2 linked regions of the Danio rerio genome follow. The protein of the gene in region 2 interacts with the protein of the main gene of each other region in a biochemical or structural test. Links are inferred from orthologs where the notes say so. Each region holds a gene or a part of one and is shown on either strand. Other genes may lie near its edges.

The links. The genes of interacting proteins can lie anywhere in the genome.
Region 1: the proteins of maptb (region 2) and hdac6 form a complex in vitro, tested with the Homo sapiens proteins (4 studies listed by BioGRID, with this or other methods). The link is inferred for Danio rerio from reciprocal best matches to the Homo sapiens genes MAPT and HDAC6.

Annotation. Positions count from the first base shown.
Region 1 is NC_133183.1:8,972,486-8,976,329, forward strand, and holds part of hdac6 (protein deacetylase HDAC6), read right to left. Parts: intron 2,774-3,844; 5' UTR 2,741-2,773; coding exon 2,678-2,740; intron 2,431-2,677; coding exon 2,338-2,430; intron 1-2,337.
Region 2 is NC_133178.1:20,949,617-20,954,251, forward strand, and holds the start of maptb (uncharacterized protein maptb), read right to left. Parts: upstream 2,985-4,635; 5' UTR 2,736-2,984; intron 615-2,735; 5' UTR 517-614; intron 1-516. UniProt on the Homo sapiens protein: Promotes microtubule assembly and stability, and might be involved in the establishment and maintenance of neuronal polarity.

The sequences.
Region 1 (3,844 bases), on a different chromosome or scaffold from region 2:
CCGGTGCCACTCCTGTCAGCTAAGAACAGAATACTGAGGCTACAATTTGCACAGGTTCACAAATTAAACAATCGAAGATTGTAAAAATGTTGCCTGGTTTGATGAGTCTCGATTTCTGCTGTGACATTCAGATGGTAGGGTCAGAATTTGGCTTCAATAACATGAAAGCATGGATCCATCCTGCCTTGTATCAACGATTCAGGCTGGTGGTGGTGGTGTAATGGTGTGGGAATATTTTCTTTGCACATTTTGGGCTCATTAGTACCAACTGAGCATGGTGTCAACACCACAGCCAACCTGAGTATTGTTGCTGACCATGTCCATCCCTTTATGACCACAACGTACCCATCTTCTGATTGCTACTTCCAGAAGGATAATGCGCCATGTCATAAAGTGTGAATCATCTCAGGCTGGTTTTTTGAACATGACAATGAGTTCACTGTACTCAAATGGCCTCCACAGTCACCAGATCTCAATCCAATAGAGCACCTTTTCAATGTGGTGGAACGGGAGTTTCGCATTATAGATGTGCAGCCGACAAAATCCGCAGCAACTGCGTGATGCTATCAAGTCAATATGAAAAAAAATGTCCGAAGAATATTTCCAGTACATTGTTGAATCTATGTCATGAAGGATTAAGGCAGTTCTGAAGACAAAACGGGGTCCAACTTGGTACTAGTAAAGTGTACCTAATAATGTGGCCGGTGAGTGTATATAAAGTTTGATAGAGCGCTTGGACCCAGAAGTTGTGTAGGACTTAGCAAGCAGATTGGCATTGTTGGGAAAATCCAAATGTTCTTGCTATTCTACAAGCTATTTGTGATTTTGTGTAGATCTGATTGAATAATCAAAATGAAATTGCAAACACAACTGAGCAAAGCTGCGATTGTCATGCACATCTTGTTAATGAAATATGGTTGTGTGATCAGTATAAATCTCATCCAACGGCCAGAGGGGGCTCTCACATGGAAATGCCAAGCACACACAAAGAAGAAACCTAGGAAATCCCCATAGTGTTGTCAAGAGATTTTCATAACCATATGAAGATGGAAATATGTGTATTATTTGCTATTGGAGGGAGAAAGTGTAATGGCTACTATGGATTCCATGAGGAGATGTTATGTACTGTCATCATGGCAAAGACAAAAGAAATCATTCATTCATTCATTTTCTTGTCGGCTTAGTCCCTTTATTAATCCGGGGTCGCCACAGCAGAATGAACCGCCAATTTATCCAGCAAGTTTTTACGCAGATGCCCTTCCAGCCACAACCCATCTCTGGAAAACATCCACACACACATTCACACACACACTCATACACTACGGACAATTTAGCCTACCCAATTCACCTGTACCGCATGTCTTTGGACTGTGGGGGAAACCGGAGCACCCGGTGGAAACCCACGGGAACGCAGGGAGAACATGCAAACTCCACACAGAAACGCCAACTGATCCGAGGCTCGAACCAGCGACCTTCTTGCTGTGAGACGACAGCACTACCTACTACGCCACTGTTTCGCCCAAAAGAAATCAGCTATTAGAAATGAGTTATTAAAACTATTATGTTCAGGAAAGTGTTGAGAAAAACTTCTTTCTGTTAAACAGAAATAGGCAGGGTTCAACGCTAAGGATTTTTTTTACTGGCCCGATTGGGCCAGCGGTACAGATTTTTACTTGCCCTGCCAATATTTTCACTGGCCCCACCAAAAAAAAAGTTAAGTTAATAGCTATTTCTTAGCCACATGTTTTAATATTGTGTCAAAAATGTGTTTGAATCTAGAATTTTTATATTTTTAAACTGTTAAAACATGTATAATGAGCATATCTTCGCATTGTACCCACGTAAATGTTTGCTAACAAGACATTCTTTTAGCCTCATAAATTCATTTCGCTGTACTGGTTTTTACCAGGTTACAAAAAAACAACAAGCTCACAACATCCAATCAGATAGAAGGAACCAAAAAGCAACATGGTGTTTACAACATCACTGAGAAGGCAGCATTTAAAGGCTTAAAAGCACAAACTGTTTCTCGATTCTAAGACTGTATTCAAATGCAAATGACAAATAGTTGCAGAACTTTTGTGACAAGGCACTACGAATCGGGCCAGTAACTATTCTGTCTACTGTCCAGAGCGCCTCGCACGCTGGCCCCGGGCCACCAGGCAGTCCTTATTGTTGAGCCCTGATAGGAGAAAAAAACTCTACAGGGGGCTAATAATTCAGAAGGGCTAATAATTATGACTCCAACTTTGATATTTCAGACAGATTTCATTAGAAACTAGTAACTATGATGAAGTGTTTACCAGATTTTAATGAAGTGTGTGATGAAGTGTTTACCAGATTTTGCAGTTCATTGCTCATCTCCTCTTCAGCTTTGCTCCGATCCATTCTGCCTTTTCTCCTGGCCTCTTGTAGATTCTTCTTATTGTTCTGTTTTAAAGATTACTCACTATTAAAACGAAAATCTAGCTCAAAATAGAAAGCACTAGCTCCCACACCTGACATTTAAAAGTCTGCACAACAAGCTGAGACGCTGCAGAGATCAAGTGGGCAAACTTCGAGAAAACCTGTGGATTATTAACTAGACACCGATAAAAACAGCAAATCAGAAACATGTCATGATGAAATGGTTAATAATAGAATTTTTTAGGGTGCTGGATTGTAAACATTCCCTCACTTTTGTTTCTGGCGTTCCTCTCGGAGGTCCTGAAGAACCTTTGGTATCTGGAACCGCATCCATCAGGGGAAGATTTTACAGATACACAACAGAGAGCTTGAAAAAGAGAGGATGTTAGAAACACGTACTCAGAAAAAAACTTCATTCATTCTTTAGTCCCTTTATTCATCAGGGGCCGCCAAAGCGGAATAAACCGCCAACTATTCCATAATATGTTTTATGCAGCGGATGCCCTTTTAGCTGCAACCCAGTACAGGGAAACATCCATACACTCTCACATTCAGACACATACACTACGGCCAATTTAGTTTATTAAATTCACCTATAGCGCATATCTTTGAAATGTGAGGGAAATCGAAGCACCCAGAGGAAACCCATGCCAACATGGGGCATGAACCAGCAAACTTCTTGCCGTGAGCCATCGTGTCATGAAAAAAAAAAATAACCAATCAAAAGTCACAGTAAGGGAAAGGTTATACAGAATGATAAATAGTTTATTTAAAAAGTAAATTAGAAAATTATTGATTATGAAAATTCTAATTATTAAAATGATCAGAGATGTTAGTAATTTTAATTTGTAAGCAAAATTACAAATAAAAACAACTAAATTACCTATGTTAGTTTCTGTTAATCATACATGTATATTAAGGAATTTCCTTTTTGTTTTATCCTAAAATTAATTTACATATAATTTAAATAAAAACATAAATAATAATAATGTAAAATTGTAAAAACATTTTCAAAAGTATCCATCTGTTCAATATTTGCTCTTCTATCTACATAGGTTAGGTTATCACAGATGATCCGCTAAGTTTTATTGAATAGAAAGAAAAATAAATTATATTTATGACATAAATTTTCTGTGTAAAGTTTATTCCTCCTGGAGCTCAAATATTTGAGCTTTGGCATTAACATCGCAAAGGTTGTGGGTTACTTATATAATTGTTTTTGGGGGTTTTTTTATGTAAATTCAGTGTAAAGCTAAGTCACAATGAATAAAAGTGTTTGCCAGATGCATAAATGTTGTGTCTTTTTTATGAAACACTTTTTGTTCTATGATTAGCTACATAAAACCTCTAGAAATAGGTTCTCAGAAAAAAAGAATAAATAAACTAACTAACAAATAAAAAATTAGGTGAAAGATTACATGGAACGGTTAATACTTTA
Region 2 (4,635 bases):
AGCCACATTATGCTCCACACTTCTAGGTTTTTCCACACCGGCAAACCGCGTGCACGTGAAGCATCGCATGCGTTCCTCGCCCACACCTCTTCGAGATTCATGCATTTAATGCATGCCATGCAAAGAAGGACAAAACAAAGAAAAAAAAGACGCAATGCAATATTATTTCATTTGAATTAAATGTGTATCGTTAATATAGTGTATCCTTGGAGATAAGTACCGGTTCATGCAAATGCATAAAGAAATCCAGCAGATTCAGGTGCACTTTCTTATCGATGCTATCTCAGTGAAATGACATGCATTTTTTTTCTTTTCCCCCATTAATCTATAAAGAAAATCAGGCCCATTATGTCTCAGTCACACACCCAACAGTCGGATTTACTAACATCCTAAGACTTATACAGTGATTGTAAGTGTAAAAACTGTGCCGATGCTTAAAGGCATAGCTTATTGTATGATTAATGACGAATCGCTGTTAGATGTTGATCTTTAAGATTGTAAACCGGTTTGACTTACCTCTGTAGCACTCTGAGTTATTGTCTGTCCAACTGCAGCAGTCAGCCAGTGAGCAAACCCTGACAGTTCCTTCAGTGTCCTGCGAAGGGAGGATGGCGCTAGAGAGCGAGAGCGAGAATGATGTCAGGATGAAGCAGAACATGTGCGCTACTGAACTGACATTTCACTGATATTATTCACACACAGCTAATGTTTTCGTTGCGGTCAGTATTAGATTAGCAGTATGTTTTCATTTATGGCAGCCACCTACAAAAAAGCAAGTGTTTCAAACCTTTAAACTTTTGAGAATGTTTCTATGAATTTAAAATGACTCCTTGCAAAAATCAAGCATTTTTTTTCACAGTAAAATTTAGAAGACATCTTGGTTGCACCGACTTCACTTTGTATAACCACAAGTTTACTACAATTACTTTGATAAAACTATGGTATGATTTACCAATAGTTAGTTTGGGGTTTTCATGGTCAACTATAGCCTAATCCTAAATGGTTTTGCAACACCAACCATGGTATTTGTAGTAAAACTGTGGATATATACCAATGGAAGATGCACCGAAGGTTATAAAAAATTGTACTATTTAAAAATAATGTAAAAAAAATTATATAAAAAGGGCCTATACTGTGTATGTGAACAGCATCTTCATTGACTACCTCAGCAACCTTAATATATGGAAAAATCCCTTATGTAGGCTGTAAGTTTTTGCTGTTATTATACTGTGCACATTTACACTTGTCAGATTTGGAATGCTGTCCCGGGAGAAAACCCTAAGCTCGAAGATAATTGAGCCCAGGGTTCCCATCTGGTCGATTGAGCATGTAAGGGCAGTACGAGATCAAGTAGTTCTCAAGAGCTCCCCGTGGTAAAGGAAGAAAGGGGGAGATGGGGTGGATGGGGGTTTATTTGGAAAACGAAGATAAGGGACTAATTTTAGCCAGGTTACTTGTAGTGAGTTTGGATTAATCTAATTGGCTTACTAATAATTGTAGATGAGAGACCACATGCTCCTCTCGAAATTATTTTGTGAAACTTCTCTTAATTCAATTCAATTCAGCTTTATTTGTATAGTGCTTTTACAATGTAGCTTGTGTCAAAGCCAATGACTGTAAAAGGTCAAAGCAGCTTCACATAAATGGTCATAGTAACTGGATCAGGGTAGTTCAGTTTTTAGTGTTTAAGTTCAGTTCAGTTCAGTTTAGCTCAGTTAAGTGTGTTTAAATCATTATTGAGAGTCCAAACACTGAAGAGCAAATTCATCGATGAGTAGCTTTTCAGATCCTGAACCATGCAAGCCAGTGATGACAGCGGAGAGGGAAAAAAAACTTTACCAATAGGAGAGTGAAGAAAAAAAACCTTGAGAGAACCAGACTCTGTTCGGCACGACCATTCTAATTTCTCCACTGGCCAAAAGTCTTGTGCAGAGCTGCAGTCTGTAGAGTTAATGAATTAGCTGTCATTTAATCTTTGTGCTCACAAAAAAACAAACCAAATGAGTTTTGGGCTGCTTTCAGACACTCTGGTGTGGTTCAATTAAAATATCAATGCAACACAGACTAGAAACGTCTACTGTAAATCAGGAGTGCCTAAACTCAGTTTAGATTTAAGATATAAGATGGCCATACAAGCATATTTGCTAAACAATCTTACTTTATTAAGATCAAATGCCATCGGCACAATAGTTTTAGCTGGGTGTTCCTGAGTGTCTATTAAAAACAAAAGGAGACAGGATTTGTTTTGTTGCAGCCCCTCGTCTGTGGAATGGTTTGCCTTTGTATTTCAGGTCAAAGTCTTCCCTTGTTGTTTTTTTTAATATCGCTTTAACTTATCTTACATTTGATTGTATTTCATTTTGTTTACATATGCAAGTATAGATTTTGTGTGTTTTTTGATTTGTTAAGCACTTTAATAAACATTTGTTGCTATTAAATGTGCTATATAAAACAAACAAACAAACAAAAACCCATCTCAAATTAAATTTGTATTTAAATTAAGTTTATAGTTGACTAAAAAGTTCTAACATTATTTCTTCAGTAAGTGATAGCATAATGCAAAAAAAATTTATATTTACCCACAGCGTTTGTTTATAAAAAGCGTGCTTTCTATAATCACACAGCATATTTCTTCAGCATAATCTTAAACAAACATTCATAGGATAACACACTCAAGCACAAACACTGCACCATCAGCTTCACCAAATTCATCCATATTCCCTAGAGTTACATACCAAGCCAAGTCTGTCACCTGCACACCTTCACATGAACAGTAAAGTGTCCCTGTGTCCTTTCACCGCAGCACGACCTGGTATTTTCCCCCAAAAGAAAGTCAAATTTCCTAAATGTATTTTCTTCTCCTTATTGTGGATATCTTGTGATATCTCGCATGCAAAACACTGCAGTAGGATTTGTAGAATGTTGAATGATGAAGAGAGATGCTGCTCCTGATGCTCTCAGTGTCCTTGCTGTGTGATATGATCTTCTGCAAGCCAATCGTGTGCTTGGTTGAGGTTGGCTTTGGGTGGGAGTTGCTCAGCAACCTGCCCGCTTGTGAATGAGTAGGCAGTTTTCTTAGATTTTGTTCTGCTGTGTCTGTGAGAGAGAAAGCTAATGGCCTGCTAATGTATGTTGCAGCTGTTTTTTTTTTTATGTTGTAATTTGAAACTTTCCCGTATGTATTTTTTTACACATCAGCCTTTAATGATCTAAATGATGATACTGTTAAATTGGTTCTTACAGGAGAAAAGCTCTGGCTGTTACAAACACGTTTGGCCACTAGGTGGCGTCTCAGACCTGTCACTGTGACTGGTCTCCCTCAGGAAGGAGGTAACAGATTTTTCTGTCAGTAAAGGGACAGTTCACTATGGAGTCATATCAGTCTTAATAATAATACATTTGCATTCATAAATTTAATAAATGCACAGCACAATTTTCAAACTCAAAACACAATTCATAAATCCACAACTCCAATTCATCAATTCAAAAAACAATTCATTAATTTAAAAGTAAAAAGCAAAAATATTTCCCAAATGCGCACACATATGCAGCAACCTACATACATTTTAAATGTTTACACAATTATGTTTATATGAAGTTCTTTGTTAACTTTCTTCATGCATATATGAATTATGTTATATGTTTTTATAAACCATTGAATGTGCATTTGAAAATGCTCACACGAGCATGGAGTCCTTTGAATTTGTGTGCACATTTTTAAGACATTTCTGGTAGGACATGATTCGTACACATCTTTTTTGGAGGATATTCTGTTTAGCCAATCGTGGTGAGTTTTTTTAATCAACCAATCCAAACACTCCTTACTGAACAAACTCAAGAAGCTCCACCATGTAATTATTATTTTATATAAAATGAAATGAATTATTTTAGCAGTGTTATTTGTAGCTGACGCTGATCCGTCAGCTTGTATTTTTTTGGTTGTTGATTGTTTTTGTATTTCATTATTTAAAAGCGTATTTGGTTTATGTTTACTTTATAAATTTCCTTTGTTTCCAGTTGGCTTGAGTCGGAGGTCACATGATCTTTCTTGATTGATGTAAGGTGCAAGAGTTTGTATGGACAGGATAGTGAGATCTCAATGCAGGCACATGTTGGGTGCTACTGCTTATTCTACTGCTGGTTATGAGGCCAACACGGAAAATGAAACCTTGTATGTTATTTGTTTATTTTGATGTCCTTTTGATTGGGTTTGTGTAAAAGATTTGGGTTGTTTGTTTCTTTTTCCTTTAGTTTTCATGGTGTTCAATAAATGAAACGCATCAATATTTGGAAGCATGGACTGTTTTAATAACCGGCGGGTAGCTACATTATTAGACAATTGTCTAAAATTAAATGAGCCGAGTAATGTTATGTATCAGTTGTGTTGAGTACGGTGATCTTATGACATTCGCCAACTGATGAATTCAACACATTTAGTAGCAAATCTAACTGAACGAATCATTGATTCGAATTAATTGGTTAAATAAACGACTCTATTAGTAATACGATCATTTGCTGCCAACTGCTGGCATTTTCAATAAATCCTCATCTGTGATCAGAATGTGATGTTTGAATTGAACACAATGAAATTTTGCTGCTTTATGTAAATGCCTTTATTATCTAATTCATTTTTAG